Astyanax mexicanus: one gene and its partner. The protein of the gene in region 2 purifies or fractionates together with the protein of the main gene of each other region. This does not show direct contact. Links are inferred from orthologs where the notes say so. Each region holds a gene or a part of one and is shown on either strand. Other genes may lie near its edges.

Region 1 (8,394 bases), on a different chromosome or scaffold from region 2:
AGAGAAATGTTGTCTGTAGTTCATAGAATAAAACAACAATGTTTATTTCACTCAAACATAAACCTATAAATAACAAAATCAGAGAAACCGATTCAGAAACTGATTCAGTGGTCTCTTAATTTTTATTTTCAGAGCTGTATTACAAAATTAGGGTCTACCCTCCTACACTGCATGCATGTGAGCAAAAAAAATCTTTCCATGTGAATGATCTTGAGAGACATTATTCCACCCCTGCCACAAAAAAAGGCGTAACTTTCAATGCAAGTTAAATTAACAGTGTTTATGTTTTATGGAAAAGAGTTTGAAAGTCGGGAAAAAATGTTAAGTGCTTTATTTTTATTTATTTATTTATTTATTTTATTGTTGGCTGTGTGCTGTGTTTAACTAGAAACCAGTATTTGGCAGCACTTCAGTGCTGCTGGACACTCAGCCCAGTCCCCCATATGGCAGGTCTGGCCATGCTACAGTGGATACGTGGTGGTTTAGGGTTCCTGAATTTCAGCTTGGCCAGCCGGCACATTCCAGACATTCCGGTCTAATTCCCAGGCATTTGGGGAATTCACTTAGCACTCATTCTTCTTCTAAATGTCTTTCAGCTTTACTGTTTACTCCCACGGTTGAGTTTCAGGTGTGGGTTGGTGTTTACAGTTAGTAATCCATTTCTAATGTTCAGCACATACTTTTCGGCACTGCAGCTTTTCTAGACATATTATGATGCTGATCAGGTTTAAATACTTATTCACTCCACAGCCACGGTACAGCCTGAGGAGCAGGAGATCCTTATGTGCTCCACCACCAAAAGATGAAGGAGACTGATTCAGACCACTGGACAACATTTGTCATATGTAGAGACTTTTATTTGACAGTTTTCACTGTTTTGTATGTTTTTTATAAGTATGTTTTAATGCAGATGTGGTGTTATTATTGTAACATTTAATAACTTTAATAAATACTATTTTTGCTACTTGTTTGAGATCACATTTTGGTATAATGAGTAAATCTGGTTTGCTGTTTGGATTTTCCACTACTGGACTTTTAAATAGACTCCCTCAGCAAGACCGCCACCTTCTGGACAAATACTGTCATTGTCCTTTCCTGATGTCAGGTCTCTCCAAACCATCACTGATTGGTGGAAACTTCACTCTAGACCTCAAGCAGTTTGGACTGTGTGTCTCTCCACTCTTCCTCCAGACTCTGCTTCCTTGATTTACAAATAAAATGTAAAATTTACTGATGATCAGTGATGGATTGGAGAGACTGTCATCTGCTGGTGTTGATCCACTATTTTATATCAAGTTACAGCACTTCATGCTTCCCTCTGTTACTGACAACTTTTATTGAGATGCGGATTTCATTTTCCAGCAGGACTTGGCACACTGCCCACACTGCCAAAACTACCAATTGGTCTTATATGATATATTCTAATTTTTCTGAGACACAGATTTTTGGGTTTTCATTGGTTGTAAGCCATAATCATCAACAATAAAAGAAATAAATGCTTAAAATAGATCACTCTGTGTGTAATACATCAATTTAATATATACGTTTTACATTTTGAACTGAATAACTGAAATAAAGTAACTTTTTAATGATTCAATATTTACATTTTTTGAAATGCACAAGTAATTAAACACTGACAGTATCAACAATATGCTTGGAGAAATGTTTATTATTCATCATAATGATTTTTGTGACTGTACAATAAAATATTGTCATATTGCCCACATTGATACACAGGGTGATATAAGGTAAAGTAGCCCACAAAAAAATCCAGCCGTGGCTATATTTGCATAACAGACATTGTGACCCTCAGTTTCCTGGAAAGAAAGCAGGAGTCATTGTGGCCTCACTTTAACAAAAAGAGTGCCTTTAAAGTATTTTAGGAATTCTTTTTCTGAGGTGTTTTGTTTTGTTTTTTGACATTATTTAAAAAAGACAACATTTTGCCCCCCTCCAAGGCCAGATTTTACTACAAACGTCATCCAGACTATGAAGAAGCACACAAGGGAATCATGTAGTAACTGAATATTGTTAAACAAATCAAAATACTTTAGGTGCTCTTATCTTAGGAGCTGTTAACTTGTGGTTTCTGAGTCTGGTAACTCTGATAAAACATATCCTGTACAACAGAGGGAACTCTTGATTATTCTTTTTGGGGTGGTCCTAATGAGAGCCAGTTTCATCATAATGTTTTTGATGGTGTTTGTGACTGTTGATTTATTTATTTATTTTTTTTCATTACTTAGTTGAGTAATTCTTGCCATAATATAGATTAAAACGTTACTCATATAGAGCTATTCATTGTATTCCTGTAACTCTACCTCTTCACAACTTTATAATTGATGCTCTCAAACATTAACATTAAGAGGTAAGAAATTGAAGTAGTTAATTATTTTAGCTTTTAACTTAAATCTATTCCAGGTGACTCTACCTCATAAAGCTGATTGAGAAAAGGCCAAGATGTGCAAAACTTAAAAGCTAAATAATTATTTTTTTTTTCATAGTTTGGATGCCTTTAGTATTTAGAAATGTTAAAATAATGAAATAAAACACAAACTTTAAGGTGTCCAAATTTTTGACTGGTACTGTATGTTAATTTGTCACCTGTCTGCTTTCATGTTGTCTACAAAAAATGACAAAGGTTTTTTCACCATTTTAAGATGGTACAGAGCTTGTCTGTTCCTGTGAGCAGGATGTTGTATGTTTAGTGGGTTCATGTATTTTACTGCATGGCTTTTTGAAGAGTTTAGTTTGGCCAGAGACAGGGTGTAATCTACTTATGGGATATCAGCCATGTGTCATAAACCTTGTACATCCACTATGACCTCTTCACCCCACACACACATACACATTCATACCTAGTAACTCATATGATAGAAGGAATGATGGACTGCATGCGGTTAATAATGCTTACTCAACCTGTATGAATTTGGCTCAGTATAAACATTTACGGGAAAACCTACAGATTCCAATTAATCGTTCTCCCACACCATCCTGGGAGAGATGGAAGAAGCTGGAGGTTTGTGTTGCCTTGTTGGTATGTTGTAATGGTGCTCCATTTCTGTGAGGCCAGTCATACAGTAGGTCCTAAACCAGCTACTTCTGATCTCCATATCTTATTTGTTAGTAATGCATCTTGGATTCCTCTGGTGCTTTGGGACTCCTGTGCTTTCTAGGGTCTTCTAAAGGTTTTTCAACACACCTGAGCTAGGAAACTGATATGAATGTGTAAATATGTAAAAATGATTTATTATCGCAAGTGGACCTACATGTGCCTGAGTAAGGGATGTTTATTGGCAAGAGCATGTTGATATGCATTACAAATCAGGGATTTGATACAGGGGTCCCTGTATCACATTAATGGTTTGTGGACCATTGAGGAACAGAGTGAGAAAAGGCTAATACAAACAGAAGGACTATCATCAATTTATAGAACTATAACAAAAGGGTGGTCATAATGTTATGCTTGATGGACTGTGTGTCTCTCCACTCTTCCTCCAGATTTGGTCCTTTTGATTTCCAAATGAAATGTAAAATTTACTGATAATCAGTGATGGTTTGGAGAGACATGTCATCTGCTGGTGTTGATCCACTGTGTTTTATTATCAAGTCTAAAGTCAGCGCAGTTTTGTTTTCCCGGAAAATCTTACAGCACTTCATGCTTCCCTCTGCTACTGACAACTTTTATGGTGAGGTGGATTTTATTTTCCAGCAGGACTTGGCACACTGCCCTCACTGTCAAAAGTAGCAATTGGTCTTATGTAATATTCTAAATTTCTGAGACGCTGATTTTTGGGTTTTCATTGGCTGTAAGCCATAATCGTCAACAATAAAAGAAATAAACACTTAGATATAAATAGATCACTGTGTGTAATACAGAATATTATTTCAATTATATTATAATTTCTGTGATGCACTAGTATATAGTGCAGCCCATACATTTGCAGAATGCTTACAAGGTTGCATAAAACGACATGAATTTAATTTAATGTCTCCCAGAGTCCCCCAGATATCCTGTTCCCATAAATGTTTGTTATTTCTTGAGTTCATTCTTCCAGTTTGAGCTACTGGAGCAATCTGGGTCAGATTGGAGGAGTCCATGACCTTTTCTGCTGCTGTTTACAGCCTCCCCCCTGTCCTCCCTGCCCTCCCTGTTGGGCTAAAAGTTTAATTCATGTAATGTAAACCATCAAGCCCAATTAGAAGATCCCATAAAAACGTGTGCTTTTCAGATATGTGTTTTTGGGGAGTGAGGGAAAAAGAAAGAGGGAGAAATTCAAATCCTGCTAACGTTTTTCTTCGCCTCAGATTTCAAGCCCAAACCCGACAGACAGGGGAAAAAACCCAAATGAGAAACAGACTTTGGGAAAAGTGGAGATGGTGGTGTTTTGAGGAGGAGGAGGAGGAAGAAGAAGAGGAGGAGAGGGGGGTTGAGCTGAGAGCTGAGAACTGAGACTTGGTTTCATATGTCGACCAAGTAATGCTCTCTCTCTCTCTCTCTCTCTCTCTCTCTCTCTCTCACACACACACACACACACTCACTCACTCTCACACAGGAGCAGCGAAAAAAGAAGGGAGCCAGGAAGAAAAAGAGGAGGAGGAGAAAAGGCACAGAGAGAAAAAGAGGGAGAAGGGGGGTTAGGTTTATCGTCTTTTAGACTCCACACATCTGACAACCGTACTGTCGAGGGTTTTTACTTCAGTTCACACGTATAACTTCATCTACAGTGGATCTGTAACCGGTGTAAACTGAGGGAAAATGCTGCAGCTGGATTATTTAAGGAGACTCTTCAGCTTCTGGATGCTTAAAGCGGTAAAACCGAGGAATTGAGCGCAGAAACGAAGCGGTTGGAGGATTTTTTTTGTGTGTAAGAAGCTGAGTGAGCACATTTTGAGGAGCTTTCTGGCTTTCTAAGGGAAACAGACTGAACGGCGACGGGAATGGCCAAAGCTGACTTCAACTTTTACACGTTTTTGAACAAATACAGCGCGTATATTGAATGAACAGTTAATTGGGATACGCGACAAGACGATGGATTACGGGTTTTTTTGTAGTTTCTGTTTAATTCTGGGTAATTTCACGACTTTCTCGAATTCTGCTGAGATGGCAGTGATCTGCTAACTAAATAGGCTTGTTTAAATAGCTGTAGTACTTTTTCCACTCATTGTCTTGTTTTGGTTTTTTTTCTTCCTCCTTTTTGGGTTAATGCTACTTTATAATAGCGTTTTTACAGTACCACAGTTAGTTAACTAACCTAAAGATGAGAGAAAATAACGTTAGCTATAGATACGAAACAATAGAAACGCAACTTTAAGAAGCTTTTATTGTTTTTTTTTTTTTTCGTTTCGTAGCACCTGGAATAGAACATAAAATAGAGACGTTTTGTTGTGTATGTACTTTTAAACAAAGGATTAAGTTAGCGTATAGCGTGTAGTCGTTTTACTTTAAGCTAAATAACTAACTAGCTTGTTAACAAAGAAAGGTGGTATAAATTATTGAAGTGAAAAAAGAAAAAGAATATGATAGAGTAAGACATATAGCTAATTTAAGTCAATGGTAACGTTACTAAAATGTATAGATAACAAACATACTCTCTTTTTTTTTAATAACAACAAAACCTAAGCCAACAACAGCACCGTTATGCAGGCTTCACTTTACTTTTAACGTTAACCCACTCATCATTTTTAAACTAGGTAGCTACTAAATGACCCAGAATTAAATAAGCTGCTCTTTGATGGAGTTTTCCAGCACTCGAAGGCACTTGGATTTGATTTTTGCTCTGGGCAGCAGCCTGGGAGATAATAATCCCCCTTCCAGCTCGCTACAACCCACCGTGTCCCGCCTCCAGGCTGAGGGCGAGCAGGCATGCAGCTGAACCGGCCGAGGAGCGCCCTTGTCGGCTACGCGGAGAGCCACGCGTCCTTCTCCAGCCAGTTCAAAACCATGCGCTTCTCCTACCACATCAGCGGGGGGCTGCCGAGCCCTCAGCCGGCTCTACGCCGGAGAGGTGAGTCCTGCGCTGGGTCACTGGGTCGGCACGTCTCGGTGCTGCCTGTAAGTGGCTGCTTGGTTTTCTTCATGATTGTCTTTTTTTGTTAGTGGAGCTGAAAGGATGAATTAATGCTTTGGAAGTGTGTCCTTGCCTGCTGAAGCTTGGAGATGAATCATTCATCTGATTGCTGATCCAGTTTATATGCACAGCATGTGTCTGCATGTTCTTCTGTCAAGGGCACTGAATGAGAGAGAGAAGCTTGTGTTATTGTGTGGATGAATGTTGTTCTTGTATAAATTCAGCAATGCCACTCTGGGCATGGGGTCAGGAATGATTAATTAGTCAGTCTTTTCTGCTTTATGCTTTGATTGGATCCAGTGCATATATAGTTAGTTCATTAGGGCATTGGCGTAGGAACCGGGGGGGATGTCCCACCCAATATTAGAAACAGGTGGATTTGTCCCCCCCAAAAATGAAATAGTTTCGCTCAGCTCAGTCGTACTGTTAATGAAGAGACCGACCGCTAAGCGCTGGGAAACCAATCACGGTGCCGGTTCAGGGAGAAAGTCCCGCCTTTCAGGAGAAACAGCCAATCAGCTCGCTGGTCTTGCGAGAAGAGTTTTAATGGGATAAAGATGTAAATAAAGATGTTTTAATTGGAGGCACCTTTCCCATATTTCCCATTGAACAGGGTCAGCAATTTGACTATGTGGTAAAGTATTTCTGAATAATGAAAAATGATCATGTCTGTTCTCATCTACATTGGTTAAATCCAATGGAAATTATATGCTTCCCCTCACAAAAGGTCATTCATATATTTGGACATGATATTTTTATTTCGTAATTGGTCATTCAGTGTATGTTGTGCACCATTCAAGATGCTTTCATTGTATGCACAGATATTATATTATCTAAACATGTTGGTGAATGTCTGAATGCAGAACTAATTATTGCCAAGAGTTTAGGTATACCTTATATCCGTATCTGGAAGAATGCCATCTCCTTTATCATCTCCTTTGATTAAATCCAATTGCAATGATCTGTTACCCCTAAAATGACTGGCCATACTTGGGCAACCCATTGGACTGTGCAGTATATGTTGTTCATCGTCCATGATGCATTAATTGGAGGCACTTTTCCCCCATTGAAAAGGGTCAGAAATTTGACTATCAGGTTGGGTATTTCTGAATAATTGAAAGAATATTATATCCGTTCTCATCTGCATTGGTTAAATCCAATGGAAAAATATATGCTACCCCTCAACCAATGGTCATATATGTACATGATATTTTGATTTATAAATTGGTCATACAGTATATGTTGTAAACCATTCAAAATGCATTTTCATTTGAAGAACAGCCATTATATTAGTTGAACATCTAGATAAATTGTTATTTTCCTATTGGACTGGGTCAGCAATACAACCATTTGCTATAGATAGATGGTTTTTCAAAAACTGAATAAACCACAATGGTTTCTTTGAATTTAAAGGACACTAAAAGAGGGAAAATTACCTTTTGACCCCCGGACAGTGTTCAGAATAGGACAACAGGGTCAAATAAGAAAGGCATTTGCTTGTGTCTTCAATATTGTGTAAATCATTTTTTTATTTTAATTAAAGTAATGAATTTGTTGACATGGGCATCAATATTACCGCAGGTAATCAAAATGATTGGAAAACCTCATTCTCTCAATCTGAATCTGAGTGTCGTGGTACTATTCGTGCATTTCAAGGAAAGTTAAAATATATTTACTGTAGGCGATGTCCCCTCAGTGAAAGCTGACAGTATGTCCAGTACATTAGGTCTTCAAGAGTCATCTTAAGTCATACTGATGTGATTTGTAAATCTAATCACTGGGGCACCAGAACAGGGTCGTGATGGCATTCACATGGTCCTCTGCTCACAATTTAAGGACACCGACAAAATCCTTGGAACGGAACAGCATTGTCCCTGTGCTACTCTTCACTACTGTGCCATGTTTGTACTTGTGTATGTGTGTGTGTGTGTGTGTTTCTTTGAGACTGTCAGTGTGGGGTATTTGCTCAAGCAGTGTGCTGTGAAATCCAATTAAACTCCAGAGAATGGAGCATGCGTCCGAGATGCGTCTGTGCTGACCAGCAGATACAGAGAGTTGCCTGTCACAATATGAGCCGGTGCTTTGCTCCAGTGGATTGCTGCAGTGGAAGAAGAAGCCATTTATTTCCTGGGTGCAGGGCTTTTCTGTAATTTGCCTGTAGAAATTATGGCCTATTGATTCGAGGATGTGTGCACAGAGCGCATGTAACACAGGGCTCTACATTTAGACACTTAGCTAAACCTGCACTGTTAATTATACATTAATCACTGTTGTGATTTGCTGCCTCTATAATCAGTTAATAGCATGTTAAAACCAGTCTATT
Region 2 (8,382 bases):
TTTTATTGAATCTTAACCTAGAGACTCTGCAGTGTGCAACAAGTCTGAAATGGAGGTGATAGGCCAAATATCCAGAGACTAGTATCAATATTGCTATTTTCAAACAATTAGCAATTATGAATAAACAAAGCACTTTGTTGTATTGACAAATTTGTCAGAGCCACTGTACTGAATATGGCACAAACATTTAGATGTCAAAATAGTACAGTATGATTGACATATATTTGATTTTTTGGAATGTTTCAGCACTTTGCAGGTCACTACAGTGTCTCCACCTGAACATAACTGTGTCATCCAGATTGGGCAACATTCAGCCTTCCAAAATGTCTGCTGAAGGCTGATGGTGTTCAGCCATGTTGATTGATTAAGTTGCCCTTTGAACATCCTTTAGAGGCTGTATGATTCTGCATGCAAAGTTTCAGCTTGCTAGGTTGCACGGTTGCTGAGAAACAGTGTTCCAAATTTAACAATTGAAGTGAATGGGGCATATATCCGGAAGGACTAATTTGCATATGGCGGCCATATTGTTTACAAATTTCAACATTTTTTGACGAATATTGAAGGCCATGCTCTCACGAGTATTTTGATACCAAACATGCCAGGATTTATGAAAATTCCTAGGACTAGTTCGCAAAAGTATGTTTTGCATATTATGCAAATTAGCAAAAAATCTATATAGACGGAAGTGCATGGTCCAAATTGGAACGTTGTAGGTATTAACCCAAGGAATCCAGCAAAAAAAGAATTTTAAATGTATGTCTTATGGTTTTTGAGTTATTGAGAAAATTGTGAAAAATGAATTTCCTTGTTTATAGCGCCACCACTTGACCAATTGGTGCCATTTTTGTTGTCCACTGAGATGCACTGATCCTACATCTACCTACCAAGTTTAATTTCTCTAAGACTTACGGTTTAGGCTGCACAACTGCTTTTTCAGAGGAAAAAGAATAATAATAATAATAAGAAGAAAAATCTTAACAAAAACAATAGGGTTCTACGCACCTTCGGTGCTTGAACCCTAATTACACCAGCATTTGTGTGCTCCTAGAGTTAACAGATTTCATACAGTTTCAACTATAACATTAAAGCCACTGATAGGAAAAGTGAACAACTAATCTATCGCTACAGTGTCACCTGTCAGGGGGTAGTATATAAAACATTAGGCAGCAAGTGAACAGTAAGCTGCTTAAGAATCTGAAAAAATGTACAAGCTTTCAACTGGATTATATCATCTCCAAAATGGCAGGTGTTGCAGTGATTTGAACCTAATTAAAGCAATCAAACAAAGAACAACTAGCAAACCAATGACATGGTCATCATGGGTGCTTAAGGTTTATTGATGTCCACCTTTCAGCTTACAGAACTTGACGAAGGATCTACTTTAAAGGACTTGTGGAGTCAATGATTAAAAAGTCTGGGCTGTTTGTTTAGGTAGGTGTTTTTTTTTAATGAATGTTATGTGGGAGAGGTGTATATAAGATAACACAATTACTGCCAAACTTAAAACAAAGCAAGATCAAACTCATCAGCTCTGTTTTCGTCTGATATGTGGAAATGATGTAGTGTAAACATTTAACTCAAGCAAATTCACCGAACCGTACTTTTCATAGCAGGTGGTGATCATTCCTTCTCACTGGAGTCTCATCACTTCAGCTGTAAACCAATGAATATTTAAGGTTAGTGTTTCACATTCTAAAAAAAAGGATGTAAGGCAACAGCCAGCGTGGATCTTGTCAGATCAGCTAAAATCAAAGTGTCCGGACACCTCACTACGGGTCGAAATGAACATTTTGACAGAGTTGTCAACAACTACAGCAGGGGTCATCACTTCTGGTCCTCACAGTTCTATTACAACATCATCTCCTAGCTTTCACTCCAACGCTGCCTGATTCAGCTCATCAGTTAACTGCCAGACGGACAGGCATCAAGGAAGACCTTGTTAAAAGACAAGTGTTTTTCAGTGTCTTTCACTCAGTTACACAGCCTACTGACCAGGTACTATATGTCCACTTACTACAAAACTGCCTGTCAAATATGCACTTGCTGACACTGGGATTGAACTAAAAGTAAACCAACTAGAATGTTTGATGAGATAGATGTACGGCTAACCTAGCTGTGTGCAATTTTACAATTATGTTGCATGACATTATATCACAACATTGTTTTTTGAGTATATCGTTAATATAAATACAGTCCTCCTTCCAATAATTGATTGCCTACATGTTTTACTACAAGATGAGAGCTAAATTATTAAAAAGTAAATGCATAACTTGGACACTTTATGTTGCATGATGTCTTAAAGTATTGTGTCACAATGTTGTCTACTTTCTAAGAAGGTTGCTACAACATTGTCCAAAGGTTGCTTTCACAACCATATATTAAAAACATAACATTACCTCTGACGACTTTCCAAAATTCCGTTTATGTTTCATTATTAGACAATAGAACTTATACATTTTAGAACATTGGAACAACGCTGTAGCCACCAAAAAAATAACTGAAACAGAAATGAAATTATTTTTTTGGCCAAAACCAAATTAAACATTTCTAAATCATTTTTTTTCTTTGCATATGCTAAAGAGCTTAAACATATTTCTGTCAAGCCACTGTTTGGTATAAATAATTTTTTTTTTTGTTTGTTTTGTTTTTTATTAAGAATATTAAGGGATATTTATTGCATTCGTTTCTAAACATCCTGCATCTTAAAAGTCAAGTTTAGAAACACTGTGGTTTTTACTCTAATGTCCACCCCTCTCAACCTCATTAGGCTGCATAGATTGAGCCATGAACGTTTTGTGTTTTTTAGGTCGCGTTCACACTTGCGTTTTAAAACCGGTTTTAAAAACGTGCATGACGTCATCGCCTTTTTTTTCTTCTCCCTCCCTCAGCTTTTCTGTCACATGCAGAAGAGCCCTCAGAAGACCCATAGCTTGCTAGCTTAGGTTAACTACTAACTAGCTAGTTAGCTTAGCAAAGTCTCCAATATTACTATTATGTATGACCCAATGTGTATGTATGTGTGTGTTCAGACCAGAAACCGTGTCCTGTAGCTATTAAATATTATAGCTAGATAAAATAATGATTAAAAAAAACAACAACGGAGATAGAGGCAGGGTTTAACCACGGGTCCAGGTAGGTTAGCTAACTAGTTACCTAGTTACCTAGCTAACGTTATAGTTACCTAACCTAGCTAAGCTAACTAGCTAACTAAGAACTATCCAGCTCTAATCACAGGCCCACTCACGTAGTGTTTGGAGGGGTGCCTCCGTTTCTCCACGTCCACGACTTTCACGTCCAAAACGGTGCGGAGCTGCATCGCTGAAGCGGAGGCGGCGGAGACAGGGCAGCGGAGAGACGGGGGCAGTAAGCGCTGGATAAATGAAGAAGGGTCTGGAGGTTTGTTTTCGCTCCGTTTGTTTGAAAGGGGGCGAGTCTCTCCGCTCCAGGTCGTGTAGCTAAATGAAGACACCCCGGGTGCTCTGATACCCAGCAGCTTAACGGCTGCGCTGCTCGTACGAAGCCAAAAACGACGGGGGGATAATAGTAGTAACGAAATCCATGTAGTTGGATAAAGCGCGGTTCTGCTGCTCAGCTGTCTCCGGGCTGAACCGCAGCACTGCCGCCGCCGCTGCTCGTGCTGCTGCTGCCGCCGCTGGATGAAAACAATAGGTTAGATCCAAGTTGAGCTCCTAACTGTACGTTCACACCGAACGCGATAAAATCGCTCTGTGTCGCCTGTCCAACAGGCGATGAGTCGCTTGTGGGCGTGTCTCACTCAGAACGAGCTGTCGCTGGTGGGCGTTTTCCAAATACGGCACATACAGAAACAAGGGTTCAGCCTCTCTACACAGTTCCTAAACATTAAAAACTTTTATAACTATTTTTAAGTACAATTATTTAACATAATTATTTCATATTACAATAAATGGGTTTACTTAAATATAATACATTATTTTCCTTAATGTAGTAAATCATTCTCTTAATTTGTCCATAATTTCAAATATTGTTAACTTAATGTCTAAAATAAATTCTTGTAATTAATATGTTTACTTAAATATATTAAATCATCCTCTTGATTTAATAAACAGTCTTTCTCTTAATTTAATAAATAATTCCCTCAGTTTGAATAAATCTTTCTGTAAAATGTAATGAATAATTCCCTCAATTTTACCTAAATCGTTTCAAATTCCATACCTCAGTTTGAACAAATTGTTACGTTAAATGTATTAATTACTTTCTTCAGTTGTAATAAATCATTATGTTAACTTTAATAAATAATTCCCTTTGTTTCAATAAAAGGTTCTGTTAATTTAAAAAATATTCCCTTAGTTGTCATAAATCGTTCTGTTAATTTATAAATAATTTCCTCAGTTTAATATATAGTTTTCTATTAAATAAGGTAATTCTGTAAGGATAGTACTATACTGGGGTAGCCGCTGGTGAAGTGGAGTATTTTACCTCAGATCAGCTCAGTTCAGTTCTGTTCTTTCCGTTTTGCTGGCGGAATAAATCTTCAGTAGGAACTGAAAATCAGAGCAGCGATTTCAGGCCGGACATATGAGAATCTGTTTCTGATTGGTAGTCGCCGCCGCGCGTCGCTGCTCATTTGCATAAAGTTAAGTTCTGGTCAACTCTCTCGCGTCGCTCAAACCGCCCGCTTCGCATCGCGTCGCGCCGCGTCGCTGCCTGTCGCCCAGTGTCGCTCGCTCTCATTGAAAATGAATGACTTCCGGCTGCTTTGTCGCTCGCGTCGCTTTCGGTGTGGACGCACGGTAAGCCTCAGTTGGCAAAGCTGGACCTGGAGGTGGTCGGTTGTGGGGGGCTTGACGAGAGAAGAAGGCAGGCTTGGAGTGAACGAAAACACACACGCTCTTACGCTCTTACTTACTCTCTCTCTCTCTCTCTTTCTCTCTCTCTCACTTACAAACACACACTCACTCTCTCTCTCTTCCCCCCCTCTCCCTCTCTTTCTCTATCTGAAGAAGAAGGCTGTTTCTGTGCGGCTCCAGCTCGCTAATGGGCCGGGCTTTTCCGGCTGAGGAGGAACCTGAGAGTGAGATGTTTGGAGGTGTTTTGGTGATTCTGGCTGCAGTACCGCTTCTACCAACATCGTCCCCCTCCGACCGGCTCCGATCCGTCCTAACGACCGACGGTTGCTGCGCACGCGCACAGGCACACTCCTATATAATTAAAAAACGGCGTATTTAATGCTAACTCTTTTAGCTAGCTAACAAAAATTTTCCTAACTATTAATTTAACTGATTTATCACCTCAGTTTCCATTAACGTACCTTTAATCTCTGATACAGTGATTTAATTTGGCCACCAAAATATGGTTTTAATTAAGGAAAAGTAAATAACTAATATATAATACTGTTTTCCGTGTTTTAGTGTTGGCTAACATAGATAGCTAACTGTTACACAAATTCAGTTTGCTAACACCGAAACAATTTTCAAGCAATTTCACTGTCGAAAACAAAGGCTACGCCAGTGTGAACCATTTTTTTTCTCAGTGTGGCTCTGTGTGGATCTGATTTCGTCATGTGTGAACATGCAAATCCCTTTTTTGTCAAATTAGATTTGAATCACTTTCATATGTGGTCCTAAAATTTGATACATATCCGATCCATGGTCATGTGACATTAATGTGAATGGTCAAATCGAAATTCATGCGTCTTTTTGCTTTTATGCATGCTCTCTCATACCCACACATCTCTTGGTGCAGCTGTGCAGCTATAGCTGCAAAAACAGCAAAAGCAAACCACCTGGCCTTTTTTCACCTCCTCGAACTTCAGACCAGCTGTTTTCTCTCCACTCCAGCAAAAGATGCTCCACATATGAGCTGCTAACGCATCCATTTTACTTTGTAAAGCTACAAGTCACCGCATAAATATGGCGTTTCTTGTTGTTGGTGAAGAAGGCAACGTTTATACATGTATCAATGTGCACATGTGAGATGTTTCAGAGACAGATTCATTCACATTACACACAGATTCAGGTCACTTGCATTTTTGAATGTGAACCGTCAAGATATTCAAATTTCGATCTAAGCAAAAAATGGATTCGAGCAATGTGGCTTGTAGCACAGTGTCGGAATTAAATCATGAGAGTCTTGCTAGAGTCATGTCAATCGTTCAGTATAAGGTGGTTTGGTGTGAAAAAAAATCGGTATATCGCAGTATTGCAATAGTTTTAATTCAGGGCCAATGCCAATATCAGATATTGCACATATGCATATGTGCCGATGCAGATCACATTTAAAACTCACAGAGAGAGAGGACAAACCATTTTTTAATAAACTAAACAAACACAGATTTATATTTTTAGGTCTGAGGACTGAGATGGCCATTCCAGAACGTTGTACTTGTTCTTCTGTAAAAAAGCAACTATAACTTTTTTTAAATGATTTTTAAACATTGTCCTCAAGAATCTGCTGATATTGACTGAAATCCATGCGAACATGAACTTTAACAAGATTCCCAGTACCTGCACTGAACACACAGCCCCACAGCATGATGGAACCACCACCAAGTTTTACTGTGGGTAGTGTTTGTACTGGAATGCTGTGTTCTTTTTCTGCCATGCATACCACCTTCCAAATAAATCAATATAAGTTTCATCAGTCCATAGAACCTTATTCCAAAATGAAGCTGGCTTGTCCAAATGTGCTTTAGCATACCTCAAGCAACTCTGCCGCGTGTGCTCAGAAAAGGCTTCTTCTGCATTATTCTCCCATACAGCCTCCCCTTGTGCAGTGTTAACATCTGCAGCAAGATGATGATGTAGGAGCTTTGGAGCTGGTCTGTGGGTTGACTATACAATTTACAATTCTTACAATTTTCTCCTCTGCTTATCTGAGATTTTTCTTGTTGCCATTCTTCAGAGAAGATGCAAGGAGGAGAAAAACTTGCAATTGGCCACCTTAACTCTTTATGTAGGTCAAGGGTCAGTGAGGTTACCAAACAAATGTTGTGTTCCAATAATTAGTGCTAAAGGTATTTCAATCAATAAAACACTTTCTGCAAATCCTGTAAACTTAATTTCACTTCTCAAATATCACTGTGTTCATCAGCTATGTACTATATTTAACTGAAATCACTGATCCACACAACCAATGATTTAGAAAGGAAAGCATAAAAAATATCATGGATGCCCAAACTTTTTCATACCACTGTACCTTAACTTTACTGGTTGATTTAAATGATTTAGGGCATCAAAATATAATTGACAATGTACTAAGTTAATAAGAAATAAGAAATATTATCTTGTGTTCTTACAAAAAAATAACTCTGCTGGCTCTAGCTTGCTAGCTCTGTGGCTGACTGTACGAAAACCGATTTATTACCTCAGTTAACTTATCTTTATCCTCTGATACAGTGATTAAGGCCATCAAAATTAAAATGTAAATACTAAGTGATAGGCAAGTAATAAATTATATTATCCTGTTTTTCATGCTAACTCGTACACACACACACAATTCTGTTAATTTTTAATGATTTAGGCCATCAATGTATAAATATGAATATTAAAATATGAGAATCCATTTGAAATACTGGGTATTACCTAGTGATACAGTTGTTTTAAATACTGATTAATTTAATACTGGCTTGTACATAATAATAAATAGTGTCAGTAATTATTTACTGTGTTTTTCATGCTAATTCATACAGATTTCTTGGCTATTACATTATTTTCAGCAATCAAAATATCCTTCCTATAAACTCCTGCTGGGTCAGATATGAGTGGAGTGAACACTCAAAATATCTGACCTACAGTTTTATTTAGGCAGTATCTAAAAATATTCAGCTTGATGGGACGTTTCTGACACCTTTTTTTGCCCAGTTGTCTATACTTATTATATTCTAGCAAAAGATAACGAAGCAGCACATACATTCAGGTAAATAAAATAGAGGTAGCCTACATTTTTACCCCACAAACAGCTTTTTCCGTGTCTTGTTTCCAAACAAACTTCAATTTACAGCTCTTATTCAGATTATCATGCATTTGAATCTTGTTTCACAAGTACAGTTAATACCTGTAAATACCTGTTACAGTTAATGCACAGCACAATCATAGAGATTTTGAGGTAAAACAGACTTCAGCCAGTTCTAAGATAAGCCAGCTGGACTGTGGTGCAGCGCTAATCATGTATTAAATGATAAGTGTTCTCATTACAGGCACGATTCTACCGATTCTAACTGCATCCTTGCCCTGATGCCAAACAAAGTTTGTGAGCTGTCCACGGAATTGATTTCTCAGTATTTATTAGACAGGTTATCTGCTGCCAATAGGGTGACAGCACAGGAAAACTGCATGGAAACAGATGTGCTCATGGAAGGAAGAGCTTTGGCTTGTTTATATTGCCACCTTGTGGTTCAAGTCT

The links.
Region 1: the proteins of sh3pxd2aa (region 2) and fgd1 purify together in Homo sapiens (affinity purification with mass spectrometry; 3 studies listed by BioGRID and IntAct, with this or other methods). This does not show direct contact. The link is inferred for Astyanax mexicanus from reciprocal best matches to the Homo sapiens genes SH3PXD2A and FGD1.

What each region holds. Positions count from the first base shown.
Region 1 is NC_064419.1:4,164,612-4,173,005, forward strand, and holds the start of fgd1 (FYVE, RhoGEF and PH domain-containing protein 1), read left to right. Parts: upstream 1-4,501; 5' UTR 4,502-5,866; coding exon 5,867-6,008; intron 6,009-8,394. Other genes in the region: uncharacterized protein LOC103030869, read left to right, coding at 751-816. UniProt on the Homo sapiens protein: Activates CDC42, a member of the Ras-like family of Rho- and Rac proteins, by exchanging bound GDP for free GTP. Plays a role in regulating the actin cytoskeleton and cell shape.
Region 2 is NC_064428.1:25,422,232-25,430,613, forward strand, and holds the start of sh3pxd2aa (SH3 and PX domain-containing protein 2A), read right to left. Parts: upstream 3,688-8,382; 5' UTR 3,317-3,687; coding exon 3,245-3,316; intron 1-3,244. UniProt on the Homo sapiens protein: Adapter protein involved in invadopodia and podosome formation, extracellular matrix degradation and invasiveness of some cancer cells. Binds matrix metalloproteinases (ADAMs), NADPH oxidases (NOXs) and phosphoinositides.